2 linked regions of the Oryzias latipes genome follow. The protein of the gene in region 1 binds, or shares a complex with, the protein of each later gene. Links are inferred from orthologs where the notes say so. Each region holds a gene or a part of one and is shown on either strand. Other genes may lie near its edges.

Region 1 (3,821 bases):
AAACATGACTTTGTTTTTGACCCCAATTACAAGAAGTTCACTTCCTAGTTCTTAAATTGTCTTAATCACAGCTAAAGTTCCTCTTATCCCATTTCTCTCAGGCTTGGTAGCATCCATGAGATGGACTTGGGTCCTCCCCCTCCAATAATGAAGAGCTTTAAGGAGTTTCTGCTGTCCCTGGATGACTCTGTAGATGAAACGGAGGCAGTCAAGCGGTACAATGAGTACAAAGTTGACTTTCGCCGACAGCAGATGCAGGACTTCTTTCTGGCTCATAAAGATGAAGAGTGGTACGGTCTTTGTTGCTTTTTCCACACAGTGATGTATTGATTCTTCTGTGTATCAGCCGTACACGAGGATTGGATCAGACTGAATAGGCCAAACACCAGATTTTTCAATATAGAAGTTAGAACAATCATTCATTTTAAAGTTTTTAATGAAGAACAATTTCAGTATGAGGTACAGAACTATTTTAGCTATTTCTTGTTGCATTTATGCATCAAGAAAAAGAAAACCAACCCACATTCTATTTTATTACCTTTAGCAATGTTTTTGAAAAATGTAATCAGACTTCTGTGCGGATTAATTTTTGTGTAGATTTGTGTAAATAGTTTGTTTTTGAGTTGATTTTTTTAATGCTTTTTTGTTTTTTAAACACAATTCAATGTTTTATTCTGCTTGTTAATGCTTACTACACTTATTTCGCAGGTATCATGCAAATTTGTTCTGTTTTGACTTAACCCATTCTTCTTCAATTCCACATCCACGTTGACGACGGTTTTTTTCAAGATGAGCAAAACTGGAACTCATCCGCAGGAGTCGCTTTTAGATAGCAAGGGCCGGCACTGCGCACAATGCAGTTGCTCCTAGACACACAGTATCAGGGATTCTAGATAGACAGCCAACCTGTCCTCTGCATATAGAGGATTTTTTTTCTTCGCTGTTTTCTTTTTATATTCGGATCGAATCAGAACCCAAAAGCGAATTTGTGTGTATTCAGGCACACCTCTGGGGTGAAGTGGAGCGCATTTTCACAGAAGAAACCCCACCTCTTTTTATTTATTTGTTAATAAACTGGCAGAGCAACAGGTAACTGTGGTTCACTCAATGATTAACATTTTTAATGTGACATGAATATGCAAGTGCTTACATTTTTTTATCATTTCTGTTGTCGTTTTTTCTTTTATGATTTGGTGAGTTAATCTCAGACTCTCAATTGAAGTAATTTTCGTCATTGTAAAGGGTTAAAATTATAGTTTAACATGGATGTCAAGTTAATTAAAAAAATATTTCTCCTTAAAATCAATCAATGTTATTTCAAATATGTGTTGAAAACCTAACAAAATAATTTAACATTTTATTTTTTGATGCCCTTTCAGGCTTGATATATTTTTTTTATTTTTTTACAATTTTTATTGATTAAAAAAGAAAATTCAACCCTGTTTTTCTGACCCCCTATCATTTCATTCCCACTCCTCTGTGGACCTCCCGTCCTCCATGCACAGGTTTAGGTCCAAATATCACCCAGATGAGGCCAGCCGGCTGAAGGCGGAGGCTCGCAGTGCCTTACACAACCGTCTGAATGTTTTCACCTTCCTGATGGAGAACGGCTGGTTCGATCATGTTTCCCTGGACATTGAGCAATCCCCGGTCATCATCAGAGTTTTGGATGCTGGTGAGAGCTCAGGGAGGATTACAGCTACATGTGGAGTTGAGGCTTTTCTACATAGCGATGCCAACCTTTTCTGTCTCTGCTCCACTTTTATTTGCTTTTCTTCAGTTAAAGTTCAGGAAATTTGAAAAGTGGGCTTACAAGTTACTAAAGTAAACCTTTTTGGAATTACTCTTCCTTACAATTGTATGTCCACAAGCTTTATTCACGAAGGCTGCTGCACACAAATAAGCCTGGATAGAGGTGGAAAGGAGCTTTCTTAATCGTTTGAAGAAAAGAAAAAAGATTTGGTTGCGAAAAAACATAAGTAAACAATTCTGGAAACATACGTCTTACAACAAAGTCGATACATTTGAATTTTGTTTACAAAAAAAGAGGATGAGATTTGATTATGTTTTTAATAGTTTATCTTAATTACTTTAAAGTAAGCTTTATACGCCATTCAAAAACACTATGAATATGTTAAAATATAAGTCTTTCTTAACTGTACAATTTTCTCTCGCTATTGTGCGGTTCACCTTGGATGCTTTTTTTTTTTTTTTTTTTTACAGAGCACTGAGTTTGCTGTCTCCTGTACAGAATATGTTGAGCTTGCCAGAGTTGCATAAATCTTCAATTTTGATCAGATCTATTTTATTCTATAAATCTGGGCGTATTTTTCTATGTAGAAAAGTGTATAAAGTGTGCAGTGAGGAGTTTGACAGCCTTAAAAGATTTGTAAATCTACTTTGTGGATTTCACCAACAGCGGGTTACTTCTAGAACCTAACTCCTGCGATAAACAAAGGAACATTGGATTGTGATTTTTCTGATTATGACAGCGGTTTAAACGTGACAGAATGCGTGTCATTTAGATGCCACTGAAGGTTTGTGTTTTTAAAAGGCAAAACTATCATTTTATTGATCAGATATTTTTTCTTACATGCACATGTATTGGGGTTCCTGAATAATCAAAGCGATTGTAATGTTTTAGGATAAAATATTAGCAACATTTTTAAATGTTTTAGAATCAAGTATTTGCAAGAATGAATTTTTGTTTTTGCATTGCAGTGTTTTAGAACTAAAGCAACTTTCCACATTATTAGGTTTTGTTTTTTTTATCATTTGCATCAGTTATTCTTCTTATTTCTATTTCTTAACAGTTAAACAACCCAACCAAGACAAAATCAATTTTAATATTTTTTGCTGCTTATTGCCAGAGAGAGTAATCCACACAATCAACGTGTTTAATGTTTTCTAAAAGTGCTTCACAGTTTGTTTGAGCAGGCAGTTAAAGGGTTATAGCGCATTACTTTTCTGAGTAATTGAATCTAATTTTAGGCTGTTTCATCTTTATTTTTTTAAAACTTTCTACAGTTCTATGTAAGGATCTCTACTTAAATGGGTCTTATTTTGTTGATTAAATACTAGATTCCCCTGTCTTTGTACAACTATAACCACACACATCCTCTTCCTTGTTGTGTCCTTAGCTGTGATAAAAATGGAAGGAGGGACGGATCACGACCTCCGCATCCTGGACATGCCGTCTGAGGAGGAAGAGAACAAAGAGAAGTCGGCCCCTGCTTCAGTGGGAGATCAGCTCTCAAAGAGAGAGGATGTTAAATTGAGTGGAGAGGGCAAACCTGTAGAGAAGGACAAAACTGAAAAGGTCGGAGTTTATTCTTTTAGTAAGCTAATAAGGTTCTGATATTTCTTTTGTTAAAGATGAAGTTGTTCACCAGGAGGAGAATGACTTTGTCGGCACAGACCGGGAGGCTTCTGGAAACGGGGAGGACTTGAAGAACGAATCAGTGAAGGAAGCTGTGAAAGAGGAAATGCCTTTACCAAAAAAGGTTCTTTTTACAATTACTCCAGAGGAAATGAACGGCAGAGCAACACTGACTGACTGACTGACTGACGGCTCTCCTCGCTTTTGGTAGGCGAGAAGAAAGCGAAAGCGCAGTGGAGACAGCGATGATGAAGCCAGCCCCTCAGAGAGCGACTCTGACTCAGACTCCATCTCCAACTGCTCAGACAAATCTGTGAAGAAAGAAGAGCTCCAGGACAAGGATGTGGAGGAAGATGAGGGTGAAGGTGAGGAAGAGCATGTACGCTGCCTGATATGACTTCTCAATGTGAATACAAAGTTCTCTAGAACCATTTATTGTTTT
Region 2 (4,326 bases), on another chromosome or scaffold:
CTGTCTGGTGGTCTTTGATTACTCTTAGAACAATATTATAAGAAACCTGTGAGGTTTTTATTTATTTATTTGAACATGTTTGGTCCCACATCCATAACACTATAACACCTGTCATGTCTTCCACTGTTTTCATTTATTCTGGTTTTGTCTTCCGGTTCCAGGTGCTGCTGTTGCATTAAGGAGACCATGATGGAAACTGACATACAAGTCAAGACTTCTCAGCAGAACCACAACTCTTTATTATGAGCTGATCATGTTTTGGACTTGCTATGTAGCAAACTGTCAGCCAGCAGCTGGGTTCATCTTTTCTAAAGAACTGTCCTGCTTTTGAGCAACGTTATTCTTAATTTCTTATTTCTTTGATGCAAACTCTAATACATTTCTGATTTGTTTAGGTAGTTAAATTTACATTAAATCAATGAAAGTGAATCAGTGGAACAGATTAGGGGGGAACATTTGTGTTCACTTTGTTCCAAAAAATAAAATGCCACCCTGTGTTTAAATTGTTTCTTTTTTCTTTTTTTTTTTGCAATGTATTAATTTTTGAACTTTGAATGTTTAAATGTGTCAGAAGTCAAAAGCAAGAAACAGATGTGATAAATCTGTGCACAAGACTAAAAGTTTTCTCTTCTGGACAGTTAGTAGGCATTTTGCATATAGTAGAACTGTTAAAGTCAAGAAGGATGAGTAACAGTTTTAAATACTAACATTTATCTAATGTACATTTAAAAAAAATGTGAAAAAAGTAAGACAGAACAGAATAAACTGTTGTAATCAGGCTGCAGCCAATAGCATGGTTCCACGTTTCACATATAGTCTGCAGCTGGAGTATTGCAGTGCAATACTATGCAAAGATGGTGCAATTCTGTGTGCCCTTGAGATGGAATAGCTTTGCATAAAGGTTTCTGAATGAATCTCAGAAACTTTACAATATTTTCTAAAAGAGTAAAGAAAAACCTGTAAAGCAAATATCAATTCAGATTTAAAAGCTGGTGATTTTATTTTAAAGAAGAAAGATATCCAAACATTTGAAATATAAGGTTTTTACATTTTTGTAATTGGCAACATATACTAACCTAAAAATAGACTTTTGTAAGTGCCATCTTCATACAACAGAAAATACTTTTTTTTAAGTTCCTCGCCAATTTTTATGAGGCTTGAGCTTTTATTTATTTCAAACTTTGAACAAACGTGACAACTATAACCCAGGCAAAACTGAACAAAACGCCCAAAAGAAGAAAGCAATAAATCTATCAATAACAGGAAAAACAAAGTTAAAGATATTTCCTTTAATCACAAAGTTAAAAGCATGAGTAGAAAAAGAGCATCACCAATAACTCATCGTATTTAAAATTATGTTTCCAACAACAAAGACTGTCAGATGTCCAGGTCAAATATCCACCCGGAGTCAATAAACGAGCGCACAACCGGAACTGATACCTCTCACGCTAACACTGGTTAGCAGTTACGCGGCTTTTTGACCGTTTGCATCATAATGTCTGTTAAATTAAACGCTTTACACAGCGATTCTTACATTGAAGTTAGTCAGTATAGGGACCAACATTTTAAGGTAAGTGAGAAATGAACGTAGAAGTCATATGAGTTGTTTTAGACCCATCAAGCTAGCAAAACATGTGAAAACAAAAGCGCGGTTATGCTTCATTTTAAAATTAAATTGATTGCACCAATAATTTTGCTCCTTGTCAATCGCTTTAGTAAAGTTACAAAACAAACATGTTATTCTCTTAATTACACCGCGTTTTAATTGCTTGCATTGCTGTTTCTTAGTCCAAATTCAATATAAAAATAATAAAGCTTTTGCTACACTGAAACAATTATTTTTCTGTTTCGTTCGTTATTTTCGTTGTTTTGATGGATGCATAATTTTACTTTAATTCAAATCAAGCTTTAGAAGATATAGAACCTTTTATAAATGAATCTTAAAAATATTTAAAAATAAAAAAAGGGTGCTACGTGGACAACAAGAGGCAGCAGCACAAGAAGACCCAAGAAAATAAAATCTATAGTTAACATTTCGAATGGGCAATAAATTTATAGATTAGATTTATTTATTTTAACCTTCCACTTTTAAAATGCCTTACACAGGTTGATTTATAGCTTAAAGAAATAAAGGAGGTGAAATAAAAAGGTGTTGTATTTTTTTCGTGCCAAATGTCTATTAATTGTCAAGTGTTGACAATTTTTCATTGCTTGTTCGGTATTAGGGGAACCGTTATGAACAGGAGAAGCTGCTGAAACAGAGCAACACTTTGTATGTGGGGAATCTGTCCTTCTACACCACTGAGGAGCAGGTGAGATTCTTCAACTCTGCTTCAGACTGATGTGAAGTTATGATCTCCAGTCCTGGTAATGAAATAATTAGGTCAATTTTTTTTTTTTTTTTTTCACGTCTTAAGTCTTTTTTTTTTAAAATTAATTTCTTTCCTTTGGTGACTTTTTAACAGGTTCATGAGTTGTTTGCTAAATGCGGAGATGTTAAGAGGATCATCATCGGCCTTGATAAAGTCAAAAAAACTGCCTGTGGCTTCTGCTTTGTAGAGTATCCTTTTGAACAACCAGACATGGATGATTTATCTTCTATGCAAAGGTAAAAATGTACATTTTGTGATTCCATCTCCCTAAATAACATATGACTTACATTATTTGATAAATATTTTTGTCATCTTTTAAATAATTAAGACCTCATGATTTGTGTTGTGGCAGTTACTTTTCTTCATCATTTTGGCAAAGCTCCATAGGTATCTACATTTACACCATTTAGGCTCTAATGAGTTTGTAAAACACACAGCGAGTATAGTAATTTAAACCTTAACTACAGTTATAGTAGGTATTCTGTTAATGTTCACTCTAAAGTGTTTTTGCTTGTGGTTACAGAGTACAAACTTAGTTTTATTACATACCTTAGAACTGTTTAAATGTAGAAATTGTTTTGCATGAAATCTATCAAACTTATTAAGAAGCCGACAGTAACATCCCAGTGCAGCCCAAGCCGACTGAAGCTTTTGTTAGAAAGGATTTAACTGCTGGCGTGCCAGATATTACACACGAGGAGATGCAGAAAACGCCATGCGCTTCGTTAATGGCACACGGCTGGATGATCGCATCATCAGGACAGATTGGGATGCTGGCTTCAAAGAGGGCCGGCAGTACGGGCGAGGAAAGTCTGGAGGACAGGTGAGATATGGTTAAAGTGTCTGTGAAAAGTCCAAAAGTGTTTGTTGATGCAGTTTGCGTCACAAAGTACATACGTCTATGAAAATGTTTGATTGTTGTCTCTGTTTTTGTGTAGGTGAGAGATGAGTACAGGCAGGACTACGATCCTGCCAGAGGAGGCTATGGGAAGCTGGCGCAGCAACAGCGGAGCACAGAAGCTCGCAATACTTTTTAGACCAAGTCTGAGTGTTTTGATTGGACTTCATACAGGACTGAATTTATTCCCTGATGATCAACAAAAAGCAGGCAGTGTCCAAAGAGATCTAGGACTTGGAGATGAACAGAGAAGGAATAAATCTTCTATGAATACCATTTATTTCAATCTGATATCATCAGTCAAATCCATTTGAAATAGAATGTTGTTGTTTTTCTTAACAATTGAGACATTTTGTTTAGGTGTAGTGAATGTGCATTACTGGGGTGGAGCTTTTATTAACTCTTTTTTTTGTCACCAGTTAGTTACAAAACTATTTTCTAAAATTGTTTTATGATTCTTTTTGAGTGCAGTTAACATTTTCTCTAAATTGAAAAACCTGCAGCATCTCACTCCTATTTCTCTTATTTGGAATTAAAGAAATATAAAGGGTCATACCAGACTTTTTTGTTCAGTAGATAATAAATTATCCAGTGAATTATTTTGAAGAAATGTTTTTTTTCTGTTTCCTTTTTTATTTTTTACCCTTCTGATTGCAATTCTCTAACAAAGTTATAGCTTTGTTTAATTGGGTGGGTTTTTTGTGTTTGTTTTTCTCTTGTGGTAAGAATTCAAAATGTTAAATTTATTTTGTCTCTGTAGACTTTTTATACAATAAACACATTTAATTAAACTGTCAGTTTTATTTGTAAAGCTTTTGATCATACAAAATGGATAATAAATGAAAAAATTCATTGAATATTATAATCCACGTAATGAATTTTATAAAGGTCTGAAAACAGTATGCTATTAACATTACTTAAATATTTGCTGCAATCTCCTTTATGTAAATGAGGATGCATCATTTAAGTCTATGCTAAAAGAAATTTTGCTTTTTTTGATGATTTTCTTTTTAAGAGAAGTTGACTTTTTACAATTTTCTTAAAGCTGTTGTTAGT

The links.
Region 2: the proteins of srrt (region 1) and ncbp2 are in contact, whole or in part, in a cryo-EM structure (PDB 8PMP), measured with the Homo sapiens proteins. The link is inferred for Oryzias latipes from reciprocal best matches to the Homo sapiens genes SRRT and NCBP2. Residues at the interface, in NP_056992.4 of Homo sapiens: Asp857, Arg859, Ala860, Ile861, Val862, Glu863, Tyr864, Arg865, Ala869, Asp874; in NP_031388.2 of Homo sapiens: Ser48, Phe49, Tyr50, Thr51, Thr52, Glu53, Gln55, Lys67, Met71, Leu73, Met76, Lys77, Lys78, Thr79, Ala80, Tyr89, Asp107, Glu121.

What each region holds. Positions count from the first base shown.
Region 1 is NC_019872.2:15,813,723-15,817,543, reverse strand, and holds part of srrt (serrate RNA effector molecule homolog), read left to right. Parts: intron 1-101; coding exon 102-290; intron 291-1,505; coding exon 1,506-1,675; intron 1,676-3,140; coding exon 3,141-3,319; intron 3,320-3,392; coding exon 3,393-3,503; intron 3,504-3,590; coding exon 3,591-3,744; intron 3,745-3,821. UniProt on the Homo sapiens protein: Acts as a mediator between the cap-binding complex (CBC) and the primary microRNAs (miRNAs) processing machinery during cell proliferation.
Region 2 is NC_019862.2:17,993,956-17,998,281, forward strand, and holds ncbp2 (nuclear cap-binding protein subunit 2), read left to right. Parts: upstream 1-1,402; 5' UTR 1,403-1,495; coding exon 1,496-1,570; intron 1,571-2,225; coding exon 2,226-2,312; intron 2,313-2,465; coding exon 2,466-2,560; intron 2,561-3,056; coding exon 3,057-3,195; intron 3,196-3,310; coding exon 3,311-3,409; 3' UTR 3,410-4,064; downstream 4,065-4,326. UniProt on the Homo sapiens protein: Component of the cap-binding complex (CBC), which binds co-transcriptionally to the 5' cap of pre-mRNAs and is involved in various processes such as pre-mRNA splicing, translation regulation, nonsense-mediated mRNA decay, RNA-mediated gene silencing (RNAi) by microRNAs (miRNAs) and mRNA export.